Linked DNA regions of Oryctolagus cuniculus. The protein of the gene in region 1 purifies or fractionates together with the protein of each later gene. This does not show direct contact. Links are inferred from orthologs where the notes say so. Each region holds a gene or a part of one and is shown in the gene's direction. Other genes may lie near its edges.

Evidence for each region.
Region 2: the proteins of MAD2L1BP (region 1) and LBR purify together in Homo sapiens (co-immunoprecipitation; 3 studies listed by BioGRID and IntAct, counting the BioPlex papers as one, with this or other methods). This does not show direct contact. The link is inferred for Oryctolagus cuniculus from reciprocal best matches to the Homo sapiens genes MAD2L1BP and LBR.
Region 3: the proteins of MAD2L1BP (region 1) and MAD1L1 purify together in Homo sapiens (co-immunoprecipitation; 4 studies listed by BioGRID and IntAct, with this or other methods). This does not show direct contact. The link is inferred for Oryctolagus cuniculus from reciprocal best matches to the Homo sapiens genes MAD2L1BP and MAD1L1.

What each region holds. Positions count from the first base shown.
Region 1 is NC_091436.1:126,439,781-126,450,186, reverse strand, and holds the start of MAD2L1BP (MAD2L1-binding protein), read left to right. Parts: upstream 1-7,500; 5' UTR 7,501-7,596; coding exon 7,597-7,642; intron 7,643-8,000; coding exon 8,001-8,266; intron 8,267-9,662; coding exon 9,663-10,175; 3' UTR 10,176-10,406. Other genes in the region: GTPBP2 (GTP-binding protein 2), read right to left, coding at 1-126. UniProt on the Homo sapiens protein: May function to silence the spindle checkpoint and allow mitosis to proceed through anaphase by binding MAD2L1 after it has become dissociated from the MAD2L1-CDC20 complex.
Region 2 is NC_091444.1:40,004,058-40,014,743, forward strand, and holds the start of LBR (delta(14)-sterol reductase LBR), read left to right. Parts: upstream 1-4,819; 5' UTR 4,820-4,975; intron 4,976-8,861; 5' UTR 8,862-8,875; coding exon 8,876-9,040; intron 9,041-10,506; coding exon 10,507-10,686. UniProt on the Homo sapiens protein: Catalyzes the reduction of the C14-unsaturated bond of lanosterol, as part of the metabolic pathway leading to cholesterol biosynthesis.
Region 3 is NC_091450.1:37,065,704-37,075,643, reverse strand, and holds part of MAD1L1 (mitotic spindle assembly checkpoint protein MAD1), read left to right. Parts: intron 1-2,140; coding exon 2,141-2,265; intron 2,266-2,713; coding exon 2,714-2,795; intron 2,796-5,248; coding exon 5,249-5,379; intron 5,380-5,471; coding exon 5,472-5,586; intron 5,587-7,471; coding exon 7,472-7,533; intron 7,534-9,940. UniProt on the Homo sapiens protein: Component of the spindle-assembly checkpoint that prevents the onset of anaphase until all chromosomes are properly aligned at the metaphase plate.

The sequences.
Region 1 (10,406 bases):
CTTCCCCTTCGGGCCCCCGCAGCCGCTGCTGCCGCCGGCCCCCCTAGCCTTGAGGGTTCCGCCCATGGCCGGGCCCCCTCCGGGCCGGCAGCAGCCGCCGAACAGCTCCGATACCCGCGAGTCCATTCGCCGCTGCCGCCAGCCCCCCGCCCGGCCCCTCCCCCCCGCTGCCGCCGCCGCCGCCGCCGCCGCCGCCGCCGCCCCCTCCGCCGCCGCCGCCGCCCCTACTGCCACCGCCGTGTCGGGCCAGCCAGAGGAGAGCGGGGTGGGGCCCGGCGCAAGCCACGCCCCCGCCTCCTGCCTCCTGGTCGCGTCAGAAACAGCCGCGGTGCACCATGGGATACGGAGTCCACAGCCCTGGGATCTCGCTCGAAACCATAAGCCGCCGCCCTACAACTCCCAAGAAGCATCGCGGCATGCAGGGTCGCAGTAGTGGTGGGGCGTGGACAAGAGCGCGCCTTCGCGCGCAAAGACCTATGGGGGCTGTAGTCTGGCTCCCAGTCTTCGCGCGCCGAACCGCTCTTGTTCCAGGGCCGGGGGATGGGGCCGGCCACTGTCCGCGAAGGGTTTACATCGGGATCGAGCTTTGCGGGCGCCCCTGGGTTTGGCCCCTTAAGCGCAGATTCTGAACAGATTTTGGATGTGGAGAGCTGCAGAATTCGGGGTGACTTCGGCCTGCTGGCTCCACCCCTGCCTCGGTTTCTTCCCCGATGGCCGGCGTGCCGTCGGGGGTGAGTCAGGGCGAACGCCAGGGCGGAGGCGGGTGGTGGTTAGCCTAATTATGGCTGTTATTGTTGCGATGATTATGCCACCCGTACATAGTAGTCGCTGCTTTATGACCAGGCTGGCACCTTCCGAGGATTGGTTTTGGCAGCCCCAGGCACTGCCATGGCCCGACACGAGGCTCGAACCTATAAACCTGCTGGCTCCCGGGTGGGGGAAAGGAGGGAGCGGGGTGGGGTGCTGAGGGGACTGCCGCAGCGCGCCTGCCTCCTCCCCTTTGTTTTGAAACTGAACCAATAGGGGAAACCTAAGTTTGGTTTAAAAACCACCAGGGCTGTAGGAGGAGCCTGGCTCTCTCTAGGGGCGGGACCGGGGTTCCAATTACAGCAAGCACTGCGAGGGCGGGGAAGTGGCCGGGAATAGAAACTTGGCCAAGGGCTCCAGGGGCTTGTTGACTTCTGCTTTTCTTGCCAAGTCACCTCTCCTGTTCTTTAGCGCTCTTGCACTCGGCGAAGAGTAAACACATTCGTGACAAGGCAGTGTCCAAGGCACCAGAGAGGCAGGGCAGGGAAGCAGTCCTAGGTTCAGTTCCTAGCCCCTAGGCCCCCAGGACACCACGGAACAGTATATCCACTTCCCCTCTCTTCCCAAACACTGAGTGCATCCACGGCCAAGAATTAAAACAGCTCTTCCCCGCCAGGCCTCAGTTTCCCTTAGAGGACTGGAAGCAGCGGCAGTGGCTTACCTCTGGCAATCCCTGCAGGGGTTCAGACCTGGTGGAGTCCATGGCTTCCTGTCAGGGCCACATGGAGGGAGACTGGCGGTCTACAGATGTGTAGGTGTTGTCTGCCTAGCATAACTCCCCGAGGCAGAGAGCGCAGAAAGACCAAAATCTGCAAAAGGGCCCAACAGGCCCAGCCGATTGTGTAGGTCTTCAGGGGCTGCAAGCACAAGTGACTTCTCTTCTTGATCCTGTGCAGTTGTTGAGGGAAAGGCCCACCCCAGCCAGGAGCAGAGGACCGCTGCTGAGGACCTGAGACTGCAGAACTCAGCGAGTGACCTCCAGAAGGAAGGGGATTGGAAGGGAGCGATAAGACCATCCCCCAACACACTCACTCCAACCAGAAAACCAGGGCCTGCTGCTCTTGGGAGATAACCCTTGTCTGTTCATCCACAGGGATCTTTCAACCACCAACCCCAACTCGCAGAACTTAGCTTCACCCCTCCCCATTCCCGTGTCTCCTAAGTGGAGAACTTCTTTGAAGAGATGGGAAGGGATAGCCCGTTCTGATACACCTTTCCTGACCACACCTGGCCTACCACAGTCAGAAGTGAGGGCGGGTAGAGGCGGAGGCTGAACAAAGCTGTCTGTCGAGGAGATCAGGGTCCTGGGACCTGGAACGTGGTGTCTGCGTTGTTTCCTGGAGGCGTTGCTTAAGAGGTGCCTGTGAGGTGTGTGGCTGTGGGATACATATATTAAGGATACACACACCCACGTCACATGAAAACATTTTTCCTGGTATGTCATTAGTCACTTATTTGTGTGTAGAGTACTTCTGCATACGTTTAAACTCACATTTAGCAACCTTTCCCTTATGCTATCTTAATTTTATGTCATCCCCTAAGATTTTACCCCAACTCTTGGGTTATAAGTTATGCCCCAATATTTTCTTCTAGAAGCTTTGAGGCTTATTTTTATGTTTAGAGCTTTAATTTGTTTGGGTCTGTCTCTCTGTAGTATGTTGGTAGGAACTAATTTGATTTTTTTCCTGAATGGATAGGGAGTATTTTTTTTTTATTATTTGACAGATAGAGTTAGACAGTGAGAGAGAGAGACAGAGACAGAGAGAAAGGTCTTCCTTCCACTGGTTTACCCCCCAAATGGCTGCTATGGCCGGAACTACGCTGATCCGAAGCCAGGAGCCAGATGCTTCCTTCTGGTCTCCCACGCGGGTGCAGGCGCCCAAGCCCTTGGGCCTTGCACCCAGGGAGACCAGGAGAAGCACCTGGCTTCTGCCTTCGGATCAGCGTGGTGCGCCAGCTGCAACGTGCCGGCCACAGCGGCCATTGGAGGGTGAATCAACGGTAAAGGAAGACCTTTCTCTCTGTCTCTCTCTCTCACTGTCCACTCTGCCTGGCAAAAATAAAAAATAAATAAATTTAAAAAAAGAAAAGTCGTCATCATGATAGACTGTGATCTGCATGGGAGGGTACTTCAGAAAGTTTGTGAAACATGAAATTAAATAAGTGCAAAAATTTTTCGAAATCCATTGCTGCTCTTTCACGATATACATTTTGCATATTTATTGAAGACCTCTTTGAATTCATGGATTTCACATTGTTCTAAATTTTATTTTCATTTTATTGGAGAGGCAGACAGAGAGACAGTATCCATCTGCCAGTTTACTCCCCAGATACCTGCAACAGCCAGGGCTGGACCAAGCTGAAGCCCCGGAGCCCAGAATCAATCCAGGTCTCCCATGTGGGTGGCAGGGACCCAGGTATTTCAGCCACCCTCTTTTCTTGTGTCCCAGGGTGCACATTAGCAGGAAGCCAGGCATTCAGTATGCGGTGTGGGCATCCCAGGCAGCAACTAAGTGCTGCACCAAGTGCCTGCCCCCAGACTTCAAAACTTTTTTGCACCAGGACAAACATCTTTGAATTACACTTTCCACAAAAATATTTAAAGTACCTATGATGTAGATATCTTAGTATGTGGACCTGTTTCTGGACTATCTTCTGGTTTACTGTGTGTACATTTATTTTTTAAGATTTATTTATGTGTTTATTTGAAAGGCAGAGAGAGAGAGCGATATCCCCCATCCACTGGTTGGCCCCCACAAAATGGATCCAATGACCAACAGGGGCTGGGCCAGGCTGAAGCTGGAGCTAGGAACTCCGTCTGTGCATACGTTTAAGTGAATCAGAAGTGGGACAGTGGGGCCAGCACTGTGGCTTAGCAAGTAAAGTCACCACCCATGATGCCAGTTTGAGTCCCTGTTGCTCCACTTCCAATCCTGCTCCCTGTTAATGTGCCTGGGGAAGCAATGGAGAATGGCCCAAGTCCTTGGGCCCCTGCACCCATGTGGGAGACCTGGAAGAAGCTCCCAGCTCCTGGCTTCACACCTGCCCAGCTCTGGCCGTTGTGGCATTTGGGGAGTGAATCAGCAGATGGAAGATCTTTCTATCTCTCTGTCTCTCTGTAACTCTGTCTTTCAAATAAATGAAGTAATTAAGTGGGAGGGGCAGCACTGTGGCATAGGGGGTAAAGCCACCACCTGCAGTGCCGGCATCCCATATGGGCGCCGGTTCGAGTCCCGGCTGCTCCACTTCCGATCCAGCTCTCTGCTATGGCCTAGGAAAGCAGTAGAGATGGCCCAAGTCTTAGGGCCCCTGCACCTCCATGGGAGACCCAGAAGAAGCTCCTGGCTCCTGGCTTTGGATCGGTGCAGCTCCAGCTGTTGTGGCCATTTGGGGAGTTAACCAGCAGGTGGAAGACCTCTCTCTCTCTGCCTCTCCTTTCTCTGTGTAACTCTGACTTTCAAATAAATAAATAAATCTTAACAACAACAACAACAAAAAGTGGAGCAGCTGGGATTTGAACCCGTGTCCATAAGGGATGCTGGGATCACAGGTGCTGGCTTAATCCTTTGTACCACAATGCTTCCCTTCCTCCCCCAACTTTTTTTTTTTTTTTTTTTTTTTGACAGGCAGAGTGGAGAGTGAGAGAGAGAGACAGAGAGAAAGGTCTTCCTTTTGCCATTGGCTCACCCCCCCCCCCCCAATGGTCGCTGTGGCCAGCGCACTGCGGCCGGCGCACCACACTGATCCGAAGCCAGGAGCCAGGTGCTTCTCCTGGTCTTCCATGCGGGTGCAGGGCCCAAGCACTTGGGCCATCCTCCACTGCACTTCTGGGCCACAGCAGAGAGCTGGCCTGGAAGAGGGGCAACTGGGACAGAATCCGGCGCCCCGACCGGGACTAGAACCCGGTGTGCCGGCGCCGCTAGGCGGAAGATTAGCCTAGTGAGCCGCGGTGCCGGCCCAGAAGCTTCTTCTGGGTCTCCCACGTGCTGTGGAGACCCAAGCACTTGGGACACCTTCCTCTGCTTTCCCAGGGACATTAGCAGAGAGCTGGATTGGAAGTGGAGCAGCTGAGGCACTAACTGGCACACCATAAGGGATGCTAATGCCAAAGGCGGAGGCTTAACCTGCTATGCCACAGCTCCGGCTCTTATAACTCTGCCTTTCAGACAAATGAATACAACTTTAAGAATCTTTAAATGCATCTTCAAAAATGAGGTGGGAGGGCCTAGGATCCAGATGACACTGTTAATGGGATAAGCAGAGAGTGAAAAGAACCTGTGGAGGAGACTGAGAAGTGCCTAGATTATACAAGTAGAAAGAAAAATAGACAAGTGTCAGGTTATGGAGGGCAAGAAAAGAATCTGTTTCAGGAATACTAGATGTTAAAACATACCAGAAAAGTATGATTAAAATACTGTGGTATTGGCTCAGAAATAAACATACACATAATAGGTCTGACATTGTGGTGCAACAGGTTAAGCCGCTGCTTATGATGCCAGCATCCCTTATGGGCACCAGTTCAGGTTTTGGCTGCTCCATTTCTGATCTGGCTTCCTGCTAATGCACCTGGAAAAGCAGCAGAAAATGGCCTAATTACTTGGGTCCCTGCAATTCATGCAGGAGATCTGGATGGAATTCCAAGCTCCTGGCTTCAGCCTGGCCCAGCCCGAGTCATTATGGCTATTTAGGAAGTAAACCAGCAGATGGAATGACTCTGTCTATGTCTCTCCCTCTTTCTTTGTAATTCTGCCTTTCTTTTTATTTTATTTTATTTTGACAAGCAGAGTTAGACAGTGAGAGAGAGAGAGACAGAGAGAAAGGTCTTCCTTCCGTTGGTTCATCCCCCAAATTGTTGCTACGGCTGGTGTGCTGTGCCAATCTGAAGCCAGGAGCCAGGTGCTTCCTCCTGGTCTCCCACACGGGTGCAGGGCCCAAGCACCTGGGCCATCCTCCACTGCACTCCCACGCCAGAGCGGAGAGCTGGACAGGAAGAGGAGCAACCGGGACAGAATCCGGCGCCCCGACTGGGACTAGAACCCAGTGTGCCTAGTGAGCCACGGTGCCAGCCCAATTCTATCTTTCAAATAAATAAATATATTTTTTAAAAAGTGGGGGAGGGGCCGGCAGAGAGAGAATCCTTCCATCCACTGGTTAACTCTCCAAATGGCAGCAGTGGACCAATCCGAAGCCAGGAGCTGGGAGCCAGAAGCTTCTTCAGGGTTTCCCATGTGGGTGCAAGGGCCCAAGGACTTGGGCCATCTTCTACCGCTTCCCCAGGCCATAGTCGAGAGCTGGATCAGAAGTGGAGCAGCCAGGACTCAAACATACCCCTATGGGCTGCTGGCTTAACCCACCTTGCCCAACTTACTCTGCAGCCTCCCAGAGTGATCCTATCCACTCCCATACTAATGGCTGTCTGTCCCAAATGGTGTTTCTAAATGTCTCTATTCACTGTCCTGTGGTGACACTGAACCCAGCCCATCAAAAGCAGGTTTCATCTTTTCTTCTCACCTCCTAGTAGATCTGGTCCTCGTTTATTGCTCCATCTTTCATCGAATGGAGCGCCTAGTAATTCAGTTGCTGGAGTCACAACCCTGCTGGTTTTTCTTTTTTATAGACTGACTGATTGATTGGTTTATCAGAGTTACAGACAGAGAGGGAGAGGCAGAAGAGATCTTCCAAGTACTGGTTCATTCCCCAAACTGCTGCAACAGCCTGGACTAGGCCAGGCCGAAGCCAGGAGCCTCTTCCAGGTCTCCCACGTGGGTGCAGGGGCCCAAGCACTTGGGCCATCTTGGGCCATGCACATTAGCAGGGAGCTGGATCAGAAGCGGAGCATCCAGGATTTGAACCGGTGCCCATATATGATACGGCACTGCAGACAGTGGCTTAACCCACCGCACTATAACGCCAGCCTGGACAGTCTGTTTCCTCGGATCAACTACTAATTTATGCTCATTGGGCCCCTTTGTATCTCCAGGACTCACCCAGTTCTCTCCCTCCCCTGCCACTACCCTGGTTCCGTTCTGTCTCAGCACTACCTCGAACTAGAACCCCTGTCCCTGTCTTTTATCCTCCCTGTAATCCAACTTCTACAGTGCAGCCAGCAGGGAGATTAAACGGGAAAGATGTGAACATAATCATGTCACTTCCCCTACTTATAAACAGCTTCCCTACCTCCCTACGGGGGATCGAGTTCAAAGCCTATCAAAGCTTAGAAGATCCTGTCATGATCCTGTCTCCTCCACGCCCCAGCGCTTTAGGAATTCTTCATTCCTTGAACAGGGGATGATGTTCTTGTCTCTTGGGGTCTCCTCTTTACCTTGCTAACTGACAAGGTCACAACATCTTCACACATTTCTTCTGGAACCACGTACCCCTGCCCCAACCCGCTCTGGGTTAGGCGCCCCAGTTCTTCCCTCCCCCAGCCCTTGTATACCCCACTGTATCAACGCATCCCATTGCACTGTACGCATAGGCAGTGCCCCCCTCGACGGCAGGGCCCGCGCCGGGCTTGTCCCCGGCGGAGCCTCCAGCACCGAGGACAGGGCCCGGCGTGAAGAAAGTAATGAACCCAAGAATGAATGGCTGCTAGAGGGCGGGTGGCCGCGAGCGCCTGGGCTCGCGGTAGCCGGAGGGCTAAGGGTGCCAGCGCGGGCTCCACCCCCGACCCCGCCCCAGGGCGGTGGCGCCGCGCCCCCTTCCGGCCGAGCCGGAAGTGGAGAGGGCTTCCCATGACGCTCCGCGGGCCGATCATTCTAACGCACGGAGCTGAGGGAGGAGGTCGCGATGGCGGCCCCGGAGCCGGAAATCCCGTCGCCGGCCGCAGGCACTGGTAAGGCATGGGGGCCCGGGCTTGCGGCTCCTCGGGGCCCTGTTTCTTCCCTACTGCCGTCCTGTCCTATCACCGCGCCTCTGGTCCTTCTGGTTCCGAGCTCCGGGTTCGTCCGCTCTCCGATGAGACTGCGCCTCGCCCTCTTTTCCCTGGGTCAGGAGCCCGATTTCTGAGTAGAGCCTCAGTCACTGACCGGGAATCTCTCTCGTATCGGCCACTTAGTCATGTACGGCCGCGGGGGTCAGGAATCCCGCACGTACGCACTAGGGTATCTGCGGCGTCGGGGTGTGCGTGGTGGCCGCAGGGAATGCGAAGCCCGACCCTGGCTTGTGTCTCATTTCCCTCTCTTGTGTCCTAGATCTGGAGTGGTTTGACCAGTCGGAAGAAATTCACGGCTCCCCGGTGGAACTGCCGGAGACTGCCTCTGCCCCCGAGGCTCCCGGCTCTGCGGAGCACTGCTGCCCGAGAGACTGCATGGTGCCGGTGGTGTTTCCCGGGCCGGTGAGCCGGGAAGGCTGCTGCCGCTTTACTTGTGAACTGCTCAAGCACATCATGTACCAGCGCCAGCAGCTGCCTCTGCCCTACGAACAGCTGAAGCACTTCTACCGAAAACCTTCTCCCCAGGTAGGCACGGGCTACGGGGGGGAGACGTCGCGGCTCTTGCCTGGCGAGCAGGTGGAACGGGGATCCGAGCCATCTGCAGGGACAGTCGGCGGCGCTGGCTCCGCGCTCGCGTCTTCAGCGGGGTGACCCTCTCTGGTTTTTTCCCTCTTGCTGTCTTCTCCCGAAACCCCTATTAAGTGTTGCTTTTGGACTCGAAGAGTTGAGCCTTTACATTTTAGTTTCTTTTCTCCAAATTTTCATGTTTGGTTTTTCCTTGATGGGGGAGTTCTTTGACTTTATATTCCAACACCAATACAACTTATTCTTTTTTTTTGGCAATCATTGTTAAGAGTTCTTAACTTTCGCATATGCTCTTTGCTCTTTTTCCCCCCAAAATGAGTTTATTTTGCTCTCATATATATATACATATATATATACATATATATATATACACATACATACATACATATATACCCCAGCAAAAATTGACTGCTTTGTGGCATGCCACCAAATTTCCTTGGCTATCTTAGCTTCTTATATCTGGCCGCTCTCTTGGCTGTTGGAAGGGTGGGAGAACTATGGCACAAAGAGTAGATTTCACTTTTTGCTGTGATGTTGATAAAGCCCAGTGATGTGGCGATGACATTCATTGAGCTAGACGTTCAGTCTTTTTAAGATTTATTTATTTACTTGAGAAACAGAGTTAAGAGAGAGAGGGAGAGAGAGAGAAAGGTCTTTCATCTGTTTCACTTCCCAAATGGCTGCAAGAGCTGGAGCTAGGCTGATCGGAGCCAGGAGCCAGGAGCTTCTTCTGGGGCTCCCATGTGGGTGCTGGGGGCCCAAGCTCTTGAGCCATTTTCTATTGCTTTCCCAGGCCATCAGCAGGGAGCCAAATCAGAAGTGGAGCTCCTGGGACCAGAACTGGTACCCATATGAGATGCCAGCTCCGGAGGCAGATGCTTAACCTAGTATGCCACAGTGCCGCCGCCCCCGCCCCCCACTTTTTTTTTTTTTTAAGATTTATTTATTTATTTGAAAGTCAGCATTACACAGAGAGAAAAGGAGAGGCAGAGAGAGAGAGGGGTTTTCCATCTGATGGTTCACTCCCCAGTGGGCCGCAACAGCTGGAGCTGAGCTGATCCAAATCCAGGAGCCAGGAGCTTCTTCCAGGTCTCCCACTTGGGTGTAGGGGCCCAAGCACTTGGGCTATCCTCCACTGCTTTCCCAGGCCACAGCAGAGAGCTGGATCAGAAGAGGAGCAGCTGGGACTAGAACCGGCACCCATTTAGGATGCCGGTGCTTCAAGCCAGGGCATTAACCCACTGCACCACAGCGCCATCGCCCCTCACAGGGTTCTTTAAAAGGCATTAGCTTCCCCTACCTTGTCTCTCTGTCTCACCAAGCTTTGTTGTCACAGGCAGAAGACGTGGTGAGGAAGAAGCCGCGGACGGCTGCCGAGGCCAGCAGCAGGAAATGCCAACAAGCCCTGGCGGAACTGGAGAGTGTCTTCAGTCACCTGGAGGGCCTCTTTGCCCGAACCCTGGTACCACGAGTGCTGATCCTCCTTGGGGGCAGTGCCCTAAGCCCCAAGGAGTTCTACGAACTTGACCTGTCCCGGCTGGCTCCCTACAGTGTGGACCAGAGCCTGAATACAGCAGCCTGTTTGCGCCGGCTCTTCCGGGCCATTTTCCTGGCTGACGCCTTTAGCGAGCTGCAGGCCCCACCGCTCATGGGCACCATCGTCATGGCTCAGGGGCACCGTGACTGTGGAGAAGATTGGTTTCGACCCAAGCTCAACTACCGCGTGCCCAGCCGCGGCCACAAACTGACCGTGAGCCTGTCCTGCGGCAGGCCTTCCGACCCAACAGTGGCTTCGGACGATTACATCTGGTTCCAGGCCCCAGTGACGCTGAAAGGCTTCCACGAGTGACGGAGGACGCTTCCTCATCCTGGAAACGGATGGCCGAATGGCCCGGCTCCCTTCGGCACCGAGCCACCCGACTCTCGCTTGGAGCTGGCGTTGCTTCCCGGTGAGAGGGGAAGGCACTGTCCTGGCTGCCTCCCCTCCTCACACTTCCGGGGGGCTGACGGTGTGTGGCTAGGACCATGGTAATCATCCCTGAGCTACAGCTTGTTGAATCAAAGGTTGCTTTTCCCAGAG
Region 2 (10,686 bases), on another chromosome or scaffold:
GTGAGAACAGCCACCCAGTGTGTCTGCGAATCAGATGGCTTAAAGCCTCAGATGGGAAACTGAAACAAGAGGAACCCTTAATGTCACCAGGGGTTTCTTTTTTGAATTTAAGATTTATTTATTTGAAAGGCAGTGTGAGAGAGGGAGGGGGTGGGATCTTGCATCTACTAGTTCACTCCCCACATGGCCACGACAGCCAGGGCCATCCAGGTCCCCCACATGGCCAGGGCCACCTTCCACTGCCTTCCTAGACACAGTAGCAGGCAGTTGGAGCCGAAGCAGAGCAGCTGGGCCTCCGACGGGGATGCCTGCGTTGCAGGTGGTGGCTTAACCCACTGTGACATGAGGCTGGCTGCCAGGGATCCTTAAACTAGAGCCAGCTTGCACTGGCATCCTTGGGGCAGCTTAATAAAACCAAAACGGCTGGGCAGGCCCAGAGCTTCAGGGTTAGGCCTGAGAATCTGCATGTTGAACAAACTCCCTGGTGAGGGATTTGCAAATTGGTTAGAGAGGCAGTGTGGCACAGCTGGGTGCAGACTCTGGAACCAGCCAGCCTTGGGGAAGTCTGGGGACTTATTTAACCTCCCCAGTTCCCCACCACAGTGCCATACACCTACCTCAGTCAGCTCTCAGGGAGAGGGAAATCACTTAAACACAGGAAGTGCTTTGAACAGCAGCTGACAGAGGTAAGAACGGAATAAATAAAGGTGAGTTATTATTATCACCACAGCAGATCCCACTGCTCTTTTCTTTCACTATTACCAAGGGACACAGACCTCGGCTTTTTTTTTTTTTTTTTTTTAAAAGATTTATTTACTATTTGAAAGGCAGAGTTACAGAAGCAAAGAGAGAGAGAGGTCTTCCATCTGCTGGTTCACTCCTCAGAAGCAACAATGGCCAGAGCTGAGCCAATCCAAAATCAGGAGCCAGGAGCTTCTTCCGGGTCTCCCATGTGGGTGCAGGGGCCCATGGACTTGGGTCATCTTCTACTGCTTTCCCAGGCCATAGCAGAGAGCTGGATCGGAAGTGGAGTAGCCAGGACTTGAACCAGCCCCCAAGTGGGATGCCAGCACTGCAGGCAGAGGTCTTACCCACTACACCACGGAGCTGGCCCTGACCTCGGCTTTTTAAAGTTTGAAGCAGCAATGGCAGTACACTTGGATCTATCCAAATAATTTCATCTTCTAATTAATTAATTAAAATATATTTAACATTTAAAATAGTCAAGCATTAAGAAAAATGGTGGGGAGTGGCATTGTGGCACAGCCTGCTAAGTTGCCACTGGGGACGCCTGCTTTTGTTTTTCAGAGCTCCAGTTTGAGTCCTGGCTTCTCCACTTCTGATCCAGCTCCCTGCTAATGGACTGGGAGAGTAGTGGAGGACGGCCCAAGGGCTTGGGCCCCTGCTACCCATGTGGGAGACCTGGATGAAGTTCCAGACTCCTGGGTTTGGCTTGGCCCAGCTCTGGCCATTGCAGCCATTTGGGGGAGTGAACCAGTAGACAGAAGACCCCCCCCCCCATTGTGCTTTCAAATAAATAATAAAGTAAAAGGGAGGATGAGTGCTGCAAGTACACACATGTGTGGATGTTTCAAATAAAAGCTGCTACTGAGACGGACAGATTTAATGCTTGATGGTGATCGTGAGCTCACATCCCGGTGGACAGAAGCGGTGCACATCGAACGATGGCGGTGGGAGTGTGTTTCTGTCAGCTCTCTTCCATCATGACTGAAGCCTGCCCAGATTCCGGAGTGGAAGTGTGAGCCTTATAAAGCAACGCAGGAGGCCGCAGCTGGGTTTCACGTTCCAGACCTGCTTCAGGCTGGAGCTCCAGGACGCTCTGGGGAGCAGGGCGGAACGCTAGCCAGACTGGACGAGACCCCCCAGCGTGCCTTTCGTGCAGAAAGATTTCCTGGCCTGTGGGGAGTTCTTGGCTGCTCTCTGGGCTGAGTGAGATGGGGCTTTGCTGCCCGCATTGTAGATGGAGAGGGGACTGATGTCACTCCTGGCCGTGTGACCAGCAGGGGGCCCAAGACAAGCATCTTAAAGGACTTCGACTTTATACATTTTGAATATTCGCAGCTTGCTAATTGTGATTGAAAAGCATCTTTTTGAGAGTGAAAGCTGAAAAGTCTTCACTTCCAAATCAACACAATTTTCAGCGATTGTTAAAAAAGAAAATTATAACAGTGTATAACTGTGGCTTCCATGTTTGAGTTTTCACGGTATACTTCATTGTGCTCACTAGAAAGGAACAGTAATTATTGCTTAGTTTCTCTAAGCAATAATTTTTAATTTTATTATTTTTAAAAATTTTATTATTTTTAAAAATAAATCAGTTATTTTCAAAATGATTTAATGGGGCTGGCACTGTGGCGTAGTAGCTTAAACCTCCGCCTGTGTTGCTTGCATCCCATATGGGTGCCAGTTCAAGTCCTAGTTGCTCCTCTTCTGGTCCAGCTCTCTGCCATAGCCTGGGAAAACAGTGGAAGGTGGCCCAAGTGCTTGGGCCCCTGCACTCCTGTGGGAGACCAGGAAGAAACTCCTGGCTCCTGATTGGCCCAGCTCTGGCCATTGTAGCTGTTTGGGGAGTGAACCAGCAGATGGAAGACCTTTCTGTCTCACCCTCTCCCTGTAACTCTGCCTTTCAAATAAAACTAAATAAATCTTTAAAAAACATCTTCAGTAATCTGCAAGGTATAACGTTAACTAAGCTGACTTTAGTAATTTACAATCTTATGACTTTTTAAAAAAGATTTTATTTATTTATTTGAGAGAGAGAGGGAGACAAAGGTTCTTCCACCTGCTGGTTCACTCCCCAAATGGCCGCAGTCACTGGAGCTGTGCTGATCTGAAGCCAGGAGCCAGGAGCTTCTTCCAGGTCTCCCATGCAGGTGCAGGGGCCCAAGGACTTGGACCATCTTCCACTGCCTACCTGGGCCATCAGCAGAGAGCTGGATCGGAAATGACATTTGAAGGACAGCAGCATCTCTTAGGTCTCGATATGGTATCTGTGCTGGGTCCCTGTGGACCTGGTGTAGCACTTTGATTTGTGAAGCTCTACGAAGTGGTGTTAATGTTACCTTACCTTTGGGGTTGAAGCAACTGAGACTTAGGGGTTTGCCAAAACTCCCAAGGGTTTTCTGACCTGGAAGTGTAATGTCCATTTCTGTAAACAAATTCTGTCACCGTGATGGCAATTTGATGTCAGGGCCTGTTCTTAGTGAAGTGGGAGAGGTGGGACTGAATTTTATTCCAGGTCCTTGCCTTCTTGCACTTGGAGAAGCATTCTAAGTACAGGCACATATACAGGGTGCAAAGTAGTGAGTTTACTTAAAAGTGAGACAGCAGGGGCCGGTGCTGTGGCATGGCCGGTAAAGCCACGGCCTGCGATGCTGGCATCCCATATGGGTGCTGGCTCAAGTCCTGGCCACTCCACTGCCAATCCAGCTCCCTACTAATACTCCTGGGAAAGCAGAAGAAGACGGTTCCAATGCTGGGGCCCGGGAAGAAGTTTCTGGCTTTGGGCTAGCCCATCTCCAGCAGGTGTGGCCATTTGGGGAGTGAACCAATGGAAGTGTCTGTCTCCCTCTGTAACTCTGCCTTTCAAATGAATTCATAAATGCCTTTTAAATCAAAGGTGGGACAGCGCACACACACCTGGGCATAGTTGAGGCATGGCGTAGGCCAGAGGTAGACAAGGCGTAGGGAAGCGGAGGTGGAGAGAAGGGCACCTTCGGCAGCAGCTCCAGTCGGGGGTCTCTGACGAAGGAAGACCCGCCCAGTTGCCCGCCTCTTTCATAGGGTTGGAAGGGGCGCGGCTGCAGGCGTCGCCCATCCCAGGGCCCCGGGGAAGAGACATTCCTCCCCGAGGGGGCTACTTGATGGACACGCGGGTAGGGTTACAGGAGGGGCGAGGAGGCTTCTGGTTTCCAGCTCCGGCCTTCATCTCGTTCTCGTATTTCCTGGCTGGGGGGTGGGGGGGACTTCGATGAGCTCATTCACACCGAACGCGAGTGACTGAGGCGGCCCAACGTATCCGCCTGCTTTCTTCAGTGTTTTGTAACTGTGTTAGGCTAGAACAAGCCTACTCGCGCTTCCGAAGCAGAAATCCACTTAGGTGTCCTTGGTAAGTGGGTTGAGAAAGACTCTGATTAAAACCACACTGCAAAACAGGGAAGCCCGACCGGCCTGTTTTAAACTCTCGACCTCAAAAGGAAGGAAGCCAGCCATGCAATGATGATAGACTGCAGGGGGCACAGGGGCTGGGAACCAGGGGGGGTCCCTTACAGCCAGGCTTGCGGGCCTTTCCGCCTCTGGCCCCGCGTCGTGGCGGGCTTGCCCTTCCCACGGCAGCGTCGTGCGGGCGCCAGCTGCCCCCGGACGCCTCAGGAGCCGCGGCATCGTAGCTCGCGCTAAGAATGGCCCCCATTCCATTTTAACCAGAAGCACCTTCGGCTCAGAACCTTCGTTATCACCATACGAATTTATTATTTTCTTCCAAGCTTTTTTTTTTTTAATCTCTTCTGCCAAGCCACCTTGGACCCCCAATTATCCCCTGCGAAAAGCCAGGAGGGTAAAGGCGAGGAGCGCGCGGTCCGTGGGTTGCGAGGGCGCCTGGGCGGCCGAGATAAGGCCGGGCCAAACATGCCCGCGAGCTGCACCAGGCGCCGACCCGCCCGCTCGGATGCCCCGGCGTCCCCGGGCTCCGGAGCCGAGCCGCGGGGCGGGGCGGAGCGGACGCGCCACGGCGCGCCGCCAATCGACGGCGCCAGGAACGATTCAAAACGCCGAGGGGCCAATGGGAGCTCTGGGCGGCCCCCAGGGGCGGGACCGGGTGCGCGCGCGCCCGGGCCTCGGGACCGCGGGGCGCGAGAGCGCGGCGGGCAGCGTCGCGCGCGCGGAACCGCCGCGGAGGTGCTGCTGCGCGACTCTTCCCTGCCGCAGTGTGAGTTCCCGCCGGAGCCCGGCGCAGGTGAGCCCCCGGCCCCGCCCGGCGCCCGCCCTCCGCTCCCCGCTCCCCGCGGCGCGGCCTCCGAGGGGCGGCCAGGGGTGGGGGGAGGCAGGGGCGGGCGCCGCGTGGGGGCCGGGGTCCTCGGGCGCAGGGCCTGGCGCGGCGGCCTCGCCTTCGCTGCTTTCCCCTCCCGCTCCGCCTGCTCGCTGGGCGGTCGGCGGCTGCGGAAGTGGAGCGGCGGGTTTTGAACCGCGGACGTTTCCCTCCATGTTGGAGGCGCGCGGTGGCGCGGCGCGGGGTGGGCGGGCGGCGGTGGGCGCCTTTGTCCCGTGGTCGAGCGCCGCTGACAGATCGGCGGCGCGGGGCTGCTGTGGGAGTCGGCTTTGTGGTGCCTGGCCCCGGCGGTCTCAGAACGCGGACGTTTTGGGTCGGCTTGCTCTCTCCTGCTGCGGCGCGATCCTGTTTCTTTTCTTTCTTTTTCTTTTTTTTTTTTTTTCCCAGCCTTTTAAGGTTAAAACGATCCTCCCGCCCCGAAGTGACAGCTTGCCTCGCGCTTCCCGCAGCCTCAAGGGGCACTTAGTGAGCACTTGATCGCGCGGGGCCTTGTTCCAGGCGCTCTGGCTGAGCGCCGCGCTGTCCGGCGATGCTTGGAAAGGGACACAATGGACACGCTCAGGGCCGGGTGTGGGCGGCCCGGGGCTTCGGCCCGCCGCGGGTGTGCGTTTCCCGCTGCCGCCCCCCGGGCGGACGCCGGCGGGCCGGGGTTGCACCCTGGGGATTGCTCCGAGGGGAGGCTGGGGTCCAGGGAGGAGGGGGAGGGGGGCTTGCTTTGGCCCTGGCCAAATTTCAGGACAAGTTTAGCTTCCGAGAGCCTTCTGGGGAGTGGGAAGAGTAGAAGGCCGCTGTGCCTGTACGGCCGGCCGGGAAGGCGGCATTTGGGTGCAGCGGGAGGGAGCGAGGCCAGGGCTTGTGCGTCGTGCTGGTCGGCGCAGGTGTTGCAGGCACCTTCACCTGAGTTGTTTCTGTCACATTCAGACCAGTTGGTAAAAGTGAAGGGAATGTCCGGAAGACCGGGTAACAGTCGTCGGCAGGGAAAGGCATCAGAGGATTGTAACACTGATAAATAGTAACACGCTGGCGCCTCTTGAGACGGAAGAGTCAGCAAGCCTCCGGCTAAAGAGAGGGGAGGCTGCGGCTCCAGGAGCTTCTGCTCCTGATGACCGAGGTCAGGAAACGGGTTTTCCTTCGGAGCACCCGGCTAATGTCCTTGCCCAGAGAAGCCAATCTTCGTCAGTCTCACTCCCTCTGGCCTAATGACATGCGCAGGTGTCTGGGGCCCTGCGTCCTACCCTGGCCCTGCAGGAGATTATGTTAGGATGCAGTTGCACCATATCCGCCCATCTGGCAGTTGTGTGTGGATCTTGTGCAAAGTGGAGGAGTCCGCGTGTTGCTGGCTTCGTCTTTGGGAACATTTGTATGTGAGACAGTGGTCTCCCAAGCAGAGTGCTGGTTTCTTTTGTTTTGTCGTCTTTTTCTATTCTTTTTCTGTCTCTTGTGTCTCTTGTGTGTCTCTCTCTCCCTTCCTTCCTTTTTTCTTTTCTTTTTTTTTTTTTTTTAAGATTTATTTATTTGAAGGGCAGTTACAGAGAGGCAGAGGCAGAGAGAAAGGTCTTCCATCCATTGGTTCACTCCCCAAAGGGCCACAACGGCCAGAGCTGGGCTGATCTGAAGCCAGGAGCTTCTTCTGCATGCCGGTGCAGGGGCCCAAGGACTTGGGCCGTCTTCCACTCACTGCTTTCCCAGGCCTTAGCGGAGACCTGGATCAGAAATGGAGTAGCATGGACTCAAACTGGTGCCCATGCCCATGTGGGATGCTGGCACTGCAGGCAGCGGCTCTACCCGCTGTGCTGAAGCGCAGGCCCCTGGTTTCTTTTTTGCGTCTGTCAGGAAAGATCACTATCAGGTCCCAACTCTTAAGTAAATCTTTTTTAAAACTAAGCTTTGGGACGTAGCATGCATCCACCAGATGGCTTACTTTGACTCAAACCATTTTACTTAATGGGTAACAGAAAAATCTTTTTGGCCTTGACCTGTGTTCAGTATTGCACAGTACTATGAGTGCACTGTGTCATAGGTGCAAGGCAAAGATGTCCAAAAAATGACATTTTTTGTAAAGGTCCAGAAAGAATCTGCTCACGGGCCTTTACAGGTAGCCCTGAAGTCTTCATTGTAGGAACTGCCTTCTTCAAACCCCGGTTGAGCAGTGTAGAACTAGCACTTAGGACGGTGGATTGACTTTGGGGAGCCCAGGGGGAGGAGGGGGCACACGAGAAGAGAGAAGTAGGGCACATTTCCTTCCTCTTTCTTCGTACTTGGGGCTTGAGGCTCAGTGTTGAAACAGGCAAAGCTTGCTCTTGTCACCTTCCCTTTCTGTGCGCCTCCTGCCTGTCCAGAGCTGGCCGCTGCTCAGGTGCCCGCCCCTAGGGTGACTCCCTGGCCGGGCCTGACTTCATACCTCGAGCCTACACCCATTCATTACCCACTGATGCTATCTCAGGTGTTGGGAAGAAAGCAGGCTCTTACCTAATGTGTAACTGGCTGACATCTTTGAATCGCCAGATAAGCACTTGTGTTTTCTGTAATCTACTGCTGTCTATCTAGAAGCTATGTGAACGAGTGAAGCTTGGGCAGGTTTTTCTCAGGTGATTAACAGCGGGGAGGTGTGCTCAGGAAAGACTTTCCCAGGAGGCCCAGGTCGGGCAGCCTTCTCGCAGTGGTCTGAGGGCTCGGGCTGTGACAGGAATGTGCATCCCTGTGTCGCCTTGCTGGCCAGCTGCAAGTGACTTAGCGTGCCCCCATGGGTCTTGCTGTCTGCCTCTTGGAGCAGAGCGGGCCCCCGCCGGCTGGTTCATGGTGTTGGAGGGTCGGAGGCGCTGGTGGTGGACCTGCTGCTCAGCAGAGGGAGCAGCGTGACCACCAGGAGCTGGAGGCACCAGCAGTCACCTGACATTTCAGGTGGGGGACAGGCCTCGTGGAAGTGACACTGCTCGCAGATTTGTTGGTGGCTTCTTGGAGTGTTGTAGATCCCAGGCTTCGTGGGCCAGGCTTTGATTCAGTGGAAAAGAATGTTGTAATTGGGGGGTCGGTGTCTGCCACAGGCTTGAGAGAGGGGAACTTGGATGACGGCCAGGTGCGTGCTGCTCTGCGTGGGTGGTTGGCAGAGTTACTCGGTAGACGTTTGGGCTTTGGCTCCAAAAATCAAAAGCTTATAACGCCCACATTTGCTATTCATTCTAATTTTAGAATTATTTTTCTTGTTGATGGGTTATTGGCATATTAGCTGCACGTTTTTGGTTTTCCTAGTCTGTTTTCAATAAAGGCAATTTATTAAAATGTAATTGAAAACATTTTAAAAACTTTTGTAAAACAATATGCAAATACACAGTCAGCAAATGTGTCTTGTGCGAGACTGTGCTCTTTTTTTTTTTTTTTTTTTTTTGCTCTGACTTTCGATTAGCAGGAAATACGGTGACTGTAGGTGGGTAGCATTTTGCATTAGAGCAACTATTTGATGCCTGCATACATTGTCATAACTAATCCTTAGTGTCGCATGTGTCACACTGGCTAAATCAGCCTTATGTAGTGATTCCACATGGGATACAATGTGGCAGAAAGGACACCTTCTGTGTGGTGGTACCTGCTGTTTCCTGCCATTTACATTGTTAAACTTCAGTTTTCTCATCTTTAAGGAGTTGTACCCCTTTCCTCTAGAAACGCTTCTGGCCCTGCACTTTGACCATTTATTAAGAAAATCTGGAAAGCTGTAGCTTCGAGATCAGCCTATGGAAAAAAATATAAATATAACTGTGCACATATTGACTCAATTTTTTTCTTTAAAATTGTTCAGGCTAATTTTAGAAAATGCCAAGTAGGAAGTTTGCGGATGGTGAAGTGGTAAGAGGTCGGTGGCCCGGGAGTTCGCTTTATTACGAAGTAGAGATTTTGAGTCATGACAGCAAATCTCAGCTCTACACCGTAAAATACAAGGATGGAACTGAGCTGGAATTGAAGGAGAGTGACATCAAGGTAAGCGCTCCTCTGGCTTCCCGGAGAGTGTTTACAGTGAGTGCGGTTTCTAAGGCAGGGTGGTGAGTTCTGGCTCTGGGTCGAGTTCCTGCTGTGGGTCACATGCTGTTCTGGGCTCTGGGGATGCATGAAGAAGGCACAGAGCCTCGATCCCCAGCAGCTCAGTTTACTGGGGAAAGTAGACCTTTACGGTGGGCTGCATGTATGCTGCGGGTGGGACCGAGCACATCAAGAGTAGGGAATGGCCCCGGTGTCGGGGAAGCTGAAGCCTGGACCAGGTGCTGAGGACAGACTGGAATGACGAAGTTGATGTTGCTGGAAGGGTGTGATGGTCGGGCCGGCCGAGGGATAAACAGGGCTGCGTGGGAAGGATTTTTTATCTTTCATGTCCAGGGGTTTGGGCTTAACTGAGAGTGCCATTAAATAGCTTTGAGTCCAGCCCATGGCTTTTCAGCCCATCTAGTGAGGGCCTGATGGATGGTATACAAATACTTTACAAAAATGAATTAGTAGAAAAATCAAAAGACATCCTGAGTAAAAGCCACACATTTTTATTGTAAGATTCAACAGACACTAAGTTGGGTTGTCAAAGTGCTATGACAGTTCTGTCCGCCTGTTAGCAATCCTGGCGCTCACTGCCGAGCAGTAACCAGCAGCTCTTGGATCCTACTTTGCTCTAGACCAGGGTCTGGCAAAGGACAAGTTGTAAACAGTGTTGGCTGGGCCAGGCCATGTGTTTTCTGTAGTGCAGGAGCAGCTTCAGGCAATATGGAAGGGAATGGACATGGCTGTGTTCCAATAAAACTTTATTTATGGACACTGAAGTCTGAATTTCTTCATGTATCATGCAATGTTTATTTGTTTGCAGTCACTGAGGAAATAGAAAGGCTGTTCCTAGCTGCAGGGCAACGTAAGACAGGGTTGTCCTGGACCGGCGCTTCCTTCTCCAGCTCTGGATCCCAAGAAGCAGTGGCAGGAGCGATTGGGGTGGGGGGGGGGACAGGCACGCGGGGCCACGGAAGCCACTCCTGCCCTTTGTCTTCAGGATCTGCTCGAGTGGTTGTTCACAGCGAAACCGTGGGACTCATTTTTTTTGTGTTGGCTGAGTTCTAGTTTGTTTTGTCCTGTCGTCTCAGTTGTCATCATGTTCATCTTAACCCTTCCTGTGAAGACCTTTGGGGGGTGTACAGCGCAGAGCAGACACGGTGATTCTGCAGAACAGCTTCAGGGAGCAGCGGGGGCAGGGGTGGTGGGGGTGGAAAGGCTGCATTTGTCTTAGGAGAGATGATCATGGCCGCAGCCTCTTTCCTTGGCCTCATCTGAGCCAGTCTCGGACCGCGGGGTTTCCGTGGTGGGTTCAGAGTTAACGGGAGCAGTTACTGCCCTTGCAATCCTCTCCTAGTTTGAGTCTGTCTCTGTGGATTATCATTTGTGGTGAAGCCATTTTCCTTCTTTTTCTTCCCTAGCCTTTAACTTCTTTTAAGCAAAGGAAAAGTGGCTCAACCTCCAGTTCTCCCTCCAGACGGCGGGGGAGCAAAGGGAGTCGAGGGAGTCGGTCAAGGTCACGCTCCCGGTCCCCTGGTCGGCCACCTAGAAGTTCCCGAAGATCTGCCTCCGCTTCCCACCAGCCTGACATTCAGGAAACA
Region 3 (9,940 bases), on another chromosome or scaffold:
TTGGCGTTCCGTCCCCACGCGCTCCTCGCGGCGGCCTGCAGGTTGTGTTTGCCTTGGCAGTGCCGGGGACGTGTTAAGGCTGTCCCCACGTCTGTCTGCTGAAGGGGCGCTGGCAGGAGGGGAGGCGTGGCCCGCGTCCAGAGAAGTCCGCTCCAGCCTCACACACTCGCCTGTTGCAGCTGTGGCCTGCAGTCCCCTGGGGAGGGCCGTCGGACACCTCTCAGTGAAGGGCAGAGGGGGCGGCCGTAGGCCTGATTGGGGCCCGTGGGGGGGCACCAGGACGTGGCTGCCGCTCCCCACCTGCCGGCCTGAGTGGCCTCCCCCAGGAGGCCCAGGAGGAAGTCCATGGCCTTCCCCGCCAGCTGTGTTCCTGCATCACAGTGCCCCTCAGGGGTCCCTGTCCACTTGCTGCCTGTCTGCTTGCTCCCGGTGCAGCCTCTGCGAGGCTGGGCTGCCTGTCCTTGTGCCCAGCGTGTGCGTGTCGCGTCCCGCGTCCCACGGGCCTCCAGAAGGGCATGCTCGTCGTCAGGTGTCTGACGCCTTTCTCCTTTGCTGGTTCCTGAGTCGGTCCCTTGCAGTGTGCTGAATGAGCGTGGGCGTGTCAGCCCCCAGTGTGTGCGTGTTGCGTCCCATTTCCCACAGGCCCGTGTCAGCCTCCAGCGTGTGCGTGTCGCGTCCCGTGTCCCACAGACCCGTGTTAGCCCCCAGCGTGTGCATGTCGCGTCCCATGTCCCATGGGCCCCGTGTCAGCCCCCAGTGTGTGCGTGTCACATCCCGCTTCCCACAGGCCCGTGTTAGCCCCCAGCGTGTGCGTGTCGCGTCCCATGTCCCACTGGCCCCATGTCAGCCCCCAGCGTGTGCGTGTCGTGTCCCGTGTCCCATGGGCCCTGTGTCAGCCTGTGCTCCTCGTCAGGTGTCTGACGCCTTTCTCCTTTGCTGGTTCCTGAGTCGGTCCCTTGCAGTGTGCTGAATGAGCGTGGGCGTGTCAGCCCCCAGTGTGTGCGTGTCACGTCCCGTGTCCCACAGGCCTGTGTCAGCCCCCAGCGTGTGTGTGTTGCGTCCCATGTCCCACTGGCCCCATGTCAGCCCCCAGCGTGTGCGTGTCGTGTCCCGTGTCCCACGGGCCCCGTGTCAGCCCCCAGCGTGTGCGTGTCGTGTCCCGTGTCCCACAGGCCCGTGTTAGCCCCCAGCGTGTGCATGTCGCGTCCCATGTCCCACTGGCCCCATGTCAGCCCCCAGCGTGTGCGTGTCGTGTCCCGTGTCCCATGGGCCCTGTGTGTCAGCCTGTGCTCCTCGTCAGGTGTCTGACACCTTTCTCCTTTGCTGGTTCCTGAGTCGGTCCCTTGCAGTGTGCTGAATGAGCGTGGGCGTGTCAGCCCCCAGCGTGTGTGTGTTGCGTCCCATTTCCCACAGGCCTGTGTCAGCCCCCAGTGGGCTGTGGGGTGAGAGGCACCCCGTGCGTTCCGTGGGTGAAGGCTGGGCACGGGCTCTCGGGGCCCTGCAGCCGAGTGCTGGGCCTGTTTACAGAGTGAGCCGCTTGGGGGGCTGCCCAGCTCCAGTCACTGTGGCGGGCTTGCTGTGTGGGTTCCCCGGGGGTTTCTGTGTGCCCATGTGTGTGACGCTTCTCAGTGGGCCGGCCTTTGTGCTGACTTGAGCCAGGAACGCGGTGTGGGAGGTCATCAGCAGGTCCCGGAGAGGCGCGAGGCACGCCAAGGGTGGCCCGGAGGGGCTAGCTGGACTGGCGGTCCTGGCGGTCCTGGCGGCTGCTGGCTGTGCTCGGGCCTGCCTCCCAGGTCCTGCCCGCTGCTCTCCAAGCCCTCCAAGTCCCCCCCCCCCCCCCCCCCCCCGCTGGCCTGGAGGTCAGCTCCCTCCTGTGTGGCGCTGCTGGGGTTGGAGGCTGAGCGCAGTGGGGATGCAGGGGTGTGTGCCAGGTGGACGCTGGGCCCTGGGCATGAAGGCCCGGCTCACCCTGGCTGACGCACTTCATGTTGCTGGAGGCCCTTGGCAGGCTGTCAGGCATGGGGTCCATCACGTGTGCCCCGGGCGTGGGTCTGTCCTCGCCCTGTTGCAGACAAGCCTCATCCCCTGACAAGCACTGGGACCAGCCTCGGTGAGCGGCTGCTGTGTCCCCTCTCCGCAGACCATCAACGCGTTGAAGGGCAGGGTCTCGGAGCTGCAGTGGAGCCTGACGGACCAGGAGAGGCAGCTGAAGCGCCTGGAGTCGGAGAAGCAGGAGCTGGGGGAGCAGCTGGAGCTGCGGCACAGGTGCGGGGGGGCCTGCCCCGGCTGCAGGAGGGGCTGGTGCCCAGACCTGGGGGCCCTGAGCCAGATCGCGCATGACGGCAGCCCGCTGGGACTCCTCAGTCAGGCCCGAGGTCATAGGGTGGGGAGGGCGCGTCCTGGGGCTGGGAACAAGCTGGGCAGAGGCCGGGCATGACCGGAGCTGAAGCAGGGGTGAGGGAGTGGTCAGTCCTGGGCAGCCCGCTGCAGCTGCCCCGGGGCAGGCAGATGGTGTGGGGTGAGCGGTGTTGGGAGTGGGGGACCTGGGGGGTCACAGCTGGGAAGGACCTCGTGGGTGGTCTGGGCTTGCCCACCCGCCCTGTGAGGTGAGGAGCTGGAGCCCAGGGTGCCGGGTGTCTTTGCAGGGGGAGCGTGTCTGGGGGCCAGGCAGGGGGTCGCTGGCTTCACCGCATGCCTTGTCGTCCTGTGACAGACAGTGGCAGGAAGCTAACCAGAAGATCCAGGAGCTGCAGGCCAGCCAGGAGGTGAAGGCCGACCAGGAACAGAAGATCAAGGTGAGCCTGCGTCACTGCCTGCAACGGGGCCGCGGCGTCCCCTGCTGGCGCAAGCCTGTCTGAGCTGGGCTGCGTGGTGGCCCTGAGCAGGCTATGTGTTGTAGCCCTGGGCTGTGTGGTGGCCCTGGGCTGGCTGTGGTGGCTCTGGGCTGGCTGTGGTGGTCCTGGGCTGTGTGTGGTGGCCCTGGGCTGGCTGTGGTGGCCCTGAGCTGGCTGTGGTGGCCCTGAGCTGGCTGTAGTGGCCCTGAGCTGTGTGTGGTGGCCCTGGGCTGTGTGTGGTGGCCCTGGGCTGTGTGGTGGTCCTGAGCTGGCTGTGGTGGCCCTGAGCTGGCTGTGGTGGCCCTGGGCTGTGGGTGGTGGCCCTGAGCTTTCTGTGGTGTCCCAGAGCTGGCTGTAGTGGCCCTGGGCTGGCTGTGGTGGCCCTGGGCTGTGTGTGGTGGCCCTAAGCTGGCTGTGGTGGCCCTGGGCTGTGTGGTGGCCCTGAGCTGGCTGTGGTGTCCCAGAGCTGGCTGTGGTGGCCCTGGGCTGTGTGTGGTGGCCCTGGGCTGTGGGTGGTGGCCCTGAGCTGGCCGTGGTGGCCCTGGGCTGTGTGTGGTGGCCCTGATCTGGCTGTGGTGTCCCTGAGCTGTGTGTGGTGGCCCTGAGCAGGCTGTGTGTGGTGGCCCTGAGCAGGCTGTGTGTGGTGGCCCTGGGCTGTGTGGTGGCCCTGAGCTGTGTGTGGTTGTCCTGAGCTGGCTGTGGAGGCCTTGGGCTGTGTGTGGTGGCCCTGAGCTGGCTCTGGTGGCCCTGGGCTGTGTGTGGTGGCCCTGAGCTGGCTGTGGTGGCCCTGAGCTGTGTGGTGGCCCTGAGCTGTGTGTGGTTGTCCTGAGCTGGCTGTGGAGGCCTTGGGCTGTGTGTGGTGGCCCTGAGCTGGCTGTGGTGGCCCTGGGCTGTGTGTGGTGGCCCTGGGCTGTGTGTGGTGGCCCTGAGCTGGCTGTGGTGGCCCTGGGCTGTGTGTGGTGGCCCTGAGCTGGCTGTGGTGGCCCTGGGCTCTGTGTGGTGGCCCTGGGCTGGCTGTGGTGACCCTGGACTGTGTGTTGTGGCTCTGGGCTGTGTTTGGTGGCCCTGGGCTCTGTGTGGTGGCCCTGAGCTGACTGTGGTGGCCCTGAGCTGTGTGTGGTGGCCCTGAGCTGTGTGTGGTGGACCTGAGCTGACTGTGGTGGCCCTGGGCTCTGTGTGGTGGCCCTGTGCTGGCTGTGGTGGCCCTGGGCTGTGTGTTGTGGCCCTGGGCTGTGTGTGGTGGCCCTGAGCTGTGTGTGGTGGAACTGAGCTGGCTGTGGTGGCCCTGGGCTCTGTGTGGTGGCCCTGAGCTGGCTGTGGTGGCCCTGGGCTGTGTGTGGTGGACCTGAGCTGACTGTGGTGGACCTGAGCTGACTGGTGGCCCTAGCACACGTAGGGAGAGCAGAGAGCTGCTGGAAGTGACCTGGAGTGGACTTAGCGCCGTCGCAGATCTGCCTGCGGCCTGTGCCCGTCTGAGCTGCTCTCATGGCAGAGGTGGGGCCCGAGCCCCGTCAGCGGCTCCCTGGCATCAGAGTGGGTGCTGCGGCTCTCGCCTCTGTACCGTCTACCTGGCCCCGGGCTGGGGGCTCACCCTCTACCCGGCCCCAGCGTCTGCCCTGCACCCCACTCTACCGTCCTGCCTCGTTTTTCCCAGCCCCTGCTCGGCATTGCTGACCCCTTGGGCCTGATGTCCCGTGTTGCTCTGTCCCCTGCTGTACCCAGTACCTGGACAAGACATGGGCTCTGTTAGCGTTTGCTGACTGACTGCCTGAGTCCCAGATTCCTACGTTAGCTTGTTGAGTGACTCGTGTCCTGGGGTGACATGTCTGTCCTCTCTGGTAGCACAGACTGTTGTCACATGTGTGTCACTGGCTGACGCCTGCCTGTTTGTGGGGGACAGTGGGAGCTTTGGTGCTGGGGTCTCTGGGACAGATGGGGAGTAGCTCTGGCTCCTAGAGAACTCTGAGGGAAGGGTGGCCGCGTGCACGCTGGCTGTGCAGGGTGCGGAGGGAGGGTGGAGGCACGCCTGGAAGAGGGTCAACCGGGACAGAATCCGGCGCCCCGACCGGGACTAGAACCCGGTGTGCCGGCGCCGCAGGCGGAGGATTAGCCTAGTGAGCCGTGGTGCCGGCTGTCAGATCTTAACATCTACTGGTTCACTCCCCAAACGGCCGCAACACTGGGGCTGGGCCTGGCTGAAGCCTGGAGCCTGGAACTCCATCCCGGCCCCTGTGTGGGTGGCGGGGACCCGAGTGGTGGCGCCGTCGTCTGCTGTGTTCCCAGGCGTCAGAAGCAGGACAGCCAGGACGAACCGGTGCCCGTGAGGGATGCTGGTGCACGGGCGGCGCTGACCTGCTGCACCCGCGTTTCCCAGGCTCGGCAGCTCGTTCTTGTCCCCCCCTCCCCCACGCCAGGACTTGGAGCAGAAGCTGTCCCTGCAGGAGCAGGACGCCGTGGTCGTGAGGAGCATGAAGTCGGAGCTGGCGCGGCTCCCCAAGATGGAGCGGGAGCTGAAGCGGCTGCAGGACGAGAACTCACACCTGCGGTGAGGGCCGTGGGGGCCGTGGGGCCGTCGTGGGGGCCCCGCTGTGTCCCCAGGTGGGCGGCTGCCTGAGAGACCGTTTCTGGCCCCATCAGGGAGATGAGTGAGACCAACGGGCTGCTCCAGGAGGAGCTGGAGGGGCTGCAGAGGCGGCTGGCGCGCCAGGAGCAGGTGCAGCAGGCCGTGGTGGACCTGGAGCTGGAGAAGGAGGTGAGGCCGAGGCTGCGCGTCCTCCACTGGCCGTCCCACGGGACCTGGAGGCGTCAGCAGAATGTTGTGAATCCCGGAGCCTGTGACCCTGACCCTGCGTGAAGAGAGGCTGTGGCCATCTGGGTGTGTCGTGTCAGCACAGGGTGCCAGGGGGTGGCTCTGCTGGCTGTGGCCGCCTTTGGGGATGGCCGGGGAACGTGGGTGCCTGCCGAGGCTGGGAGGCAGGAGGCGGCTCTGCCTGGAGCCTCCGTGGGCCCAGCCCTGCCCGTGGGGACGCGGTGCGGGCTCGGGACTGAGAGCTGTGAGGTCTGACGCTGGCTTGCTGCAGGCTGCCTGGCTGTGCTGATGGGAGTCAGGCGGGAGTCCTGGGTGCCGTCGGAGGTGAGAGTGACAGAGCCCCCTGCGGGTGGCTGGGACCCGAGGTGTCCGTGTGGGAGGTTGCGGCCCTGGGAGGCCTGAAGGCGGGGGAGGAGACTGCAATTCAGAGGTGCCGCCTGTGCACAGCACGTGTGCTCCGCTGGGGTTTGTTGTCCTCCATGCCGCCTCCCGTGCTCACAGCCGCCTCAGGCCTCCGGCTTGCCCAGCACGCCCCCGTGTGGTGGCAGGGTCCGTGCTGCTTGGCCGTTTCTGTGCCGCCCGCGGCCTCACCGCGGCCTGGCCATCCCCAGCCCGTGTCGGGCCCCAGCCTTTTCCCAGAGTTGCATCCAGCTGAGCGCCCGGGCAGCCCAGCCGTCAGGGCAGGGGCTCCCCTCCCAGGCTGGCATCCCAAGTGAAGTTATGTTTTCTCTGGAAATAACTTTTCTTGGAAATGAGTCAAGATTGAGGGCCTGAAGTCCCACCTCCCGGTTGAGGGTCCTGCGTGGGTGTGCTGCCTTCCTTCCACCGGGCTCCCTCTGTGCAGCAAGGAGTGGTGACGGGGGCTGCCCCGTGGGTGTGGCGTGTCATGTTGGCTGCACCCGCTACCACGTGGAGGGCGTGGGAAACACCTGACTGAGTGATGCCCTGGATAGCCATGTGTGCTGTGTGCCACAGTGGGGTGGCGGGCAGCGGGGCAACTGCAGGTGGCTCCCGTTCCGGGAGAGCCCTGAGGTCCCGTTACTTTTGGTGTGTGGGTCATGATGGTGGGCAGGCTGGTGATGGGATGGTGTTGACACCCGGGGGCCGACTGCCCTTCTGTGCGGCCTGCTGGCGCAGCTCTCCGTGGGCTGGGGTTAGTGTGTGTGCCCTGTGGCTTGGCATTTGATGGAGCACCTGGGAGATGGGGGAGAGGTGAGCCCTCGGGGCTCAGTACCTGGGTCTGCTCTGTGGGGCACAGGCTCCCTGCACTCATGGTTCCGTGCGTTTTAGTTTATTTTTAAAATGGTTTATTTGAAAGGCGGAGTTATAGAGAAGGTAGGAGGGAGAGAGGTCTTCCATCTGCTGGTTTACTCTCCAGATGGCTGCACAGCCGGGGCCGGCCAGGAGATCCAGGAAGCCAGGAGCTCCATCTGGGTCTCCCACCTGGGTGGCAGGGGCCAGGCACTTGGGCCGTCTTCTGTGGCTTTCCCAGGCGCTCTGGCAGGGAGCTGGATTGGAAATGGAGCAGCCGGGACTTGAACTTGGGCTTATGTGGGATGCCGGCACTGCAGGGGGTGGCCTAACCCTGTTGTGATGCCTGCCCTCCGTACTCCCTTTGCACTTGCTGGGGTTCAGGCTTGAATTCGGGGGCCAGGGAGGATATGTGACGCGTGCAGGGTCCCGGCTGGGGGATGTGGGGTGGGCGTTTGCACGTCCTGGCACGTCCTGTGAGATGAGCACAGGCCGTTCCGGGGCCGCTGTGGGATGGTGGGTTTTACGCGGTGATTCCTGGGCAGGCGGTGATGGGGACTTGGCTTTGTCTTTCCAGAGGCTGCTCGCAAAGCTGCAAGGCTGGGAGAGACTGGATGCAGCCACAGGCTTGAACCTCAGGTAGGAGGCCCTGGGCAGGCGGCTTCCGGAGCTGCTCTCAGCGTGGCACTCGGCCCTGCCTCCTTGGCCGCTGGGCTGCGGCGGGAGCCTTTACCCCCACACACGGCCCGTGTGGGGCAGCGCAGGGCGCTCGGCCCCTTGGGAGCGTCATTGTTGAAGGTGGTGGCAGGGTTGTGGCTGTGGACGGGTGGAGGAGGTGATGGCTCTGGGGGTGTTGTTCCCTCCGGGTGACCATCGTCCGTGGACACAGCTGAAGTTTCAGGGTTGAGAGCCGACCCCGGGGAGGAAGCCCTGGGCCCGGGGCTGAGCTGCTGGGCACCCACCCCTGGCGCTGGGCCCCTGGCCCGGGTGTGTAGTGTGGGCAGGGCTCTGCAGGGGCCTGCGTGTGGAGGCTGGGCCTGGGGCCTGGGGTGTGTGAAGCGCCCTGCTGCGCCTGCCTGTGGGCTTCTGAGACCTGGAGTCCCAGGCGTCCTCCCTGCTGCCGGTGCCGGTGCCGGCGTCGCAGCCTGCCGGTCGTGGTTTGGCTTCAGGTCGCCGTCACTTGATGATGCCGCTTCCTCCTCTCCTGCTGTCCACATCACAGAAGCAGGCCGGGCTGCTGTTTCCTCTTGAAGCGCTGCTGCCGACGCTGGGCGCGTGGAGGGCCTGCCCCGGCAGGCCTGATGCTGTGCGTCCTCCTGTGTTCTGGGCTAATTAACTTCCTGGAAAAGGCTCTCCTGCTCCCAGGGGAGACAACCGACTTCCCGTGGGGAGAGAGCCAGAGGCCGGCGTGTGCCTGAGCGACTGGCCTGTTGCAGTGCAGGGTGCCTGGGGCCTGTGGTGGAGCTGGCGGCTGGCGGCTGCAGCTGGCCATCGTGGGCTGGGGCTGCCGTGCGGCCTGCGCCCTCCAGTCCCTCTTCCCCGCCTGAGCATGGTGACCGGGCGCTAGTGTGTTGTGTCTGTCCCGCCTGTGTCCGTACCTGGTGGCCAGGCTGGAGGGGGGGGACGTCAGGCTGGGACTGTGTCAGGCCCGGGGCCCGGCTGGTGCAGCAGAGGCCAGAGCCGCCGAGGAGTCCCTGTGTCGCTGTGCGGCTCTGCTGTGCCGAGGAGGGGCCTCCGGGTGGGTGCTGTCCGTCCTCGGCCCTAGCTCGGCCCTGAGGCCCAGGATAGGTGCCTCCCTGTCGGGCAGGTCTCCTGTGCCCGGCTGCCTTGGTGCCCTTGGCACCACCTCCTCACATGGCTGGGGGTCAGCCTGTGACCTCCACTGCCTCGCCGCGTGCCCTGTGGTTGCCGTGGCACGCAGACTACATGTGGCACTGGAGTTGGGTGAAGAAGCAGATTCCTGGGCCTCGCCCAACCCAGTGTCAGTGCGCGAGGGCTGGTCCTGGGCGCCGCGGTGAGGTGGGTAACGGTTCCCTGTGCTTGCCTTTTTCTTTTCTTTGTCGTTGGGTGGGCTGGGGGTCAGGTTCTGGGCGGTTCCTGCGATTTCCCAGCGGGAGGTGCCCTGTGGAGCTTCTGGTGGCCTGGGTGTGGTGCTGGGAAGCACCAGGCAGGTGCAGTCACGGAGAGGCCCTGGGGTTCCCGCTGCAGCCCGGGCTCTTTGTTCCATTGTTCCAGCAGATGTGGCACGCGTGGCTCAGACATGACACAGGGACACTGACCTCGACACTCACGCTGGCGTCTCCTGATTCTAGGAGCCCTCTGAAAGCCGTCTGGGGACCTGCAGTGGTCGGCAGGGTCTCGCTGATGGCAGGAGCTCTGCCTGGCCTTCAGGGTGAGGTCTGGTCACCATCAGACGGCTGGTGCTGAGGAGCGGCCACCACTAGGTGGCGCTCATCCCCTTGGCGATCCTGGCTTCCCGCTGGGAGCGGCTTGTGCCCCTCTGGCTCTTGCCTCTGGGTCTTCCTTGCGGATGCCAAGGTTTTGGCTGACAGAGTGGGAGGGGTCTGCCTGTCCTGCCCCTGACCAGGCTCTCGAGGGGCCCTAGGCCCGTGGAGCAGGTATTACTGGCGCGGACCTGCTCGGAGGACAGGCTCTGGCTGCCCCAGGCTCTCTGAGGGCTCTGGGCTTTGTCCCTCTGCTGGTCAGCAAGAAGAACCCTGAGATGCCGGGGAGGTGCACGGGTGAGTAGGTGGGGTGAGTCCATGAGCGTGTGGGGAAGCCTTTTGGGGTTGGGGGCCTTGTTGGTCAGGCTCTGCCACCCGTGACTTATCCCACACGTGGGGTCACGTGAGCTACAGGCTGACAGGCTCTGCCACCCGTGACATGAATCACACATGGGGTCACGTGAGCTACAGGCTGACAGGCTCTGCCACCCGTGACAGGTCCAGCACACGGGATCTCACGTGCAGCCTGACAGGCTCTGCCACCCGTGACATGTCCAGCACACGGGGTCACATGTGCAACCCGACAGGCTCTGCCACCCGTG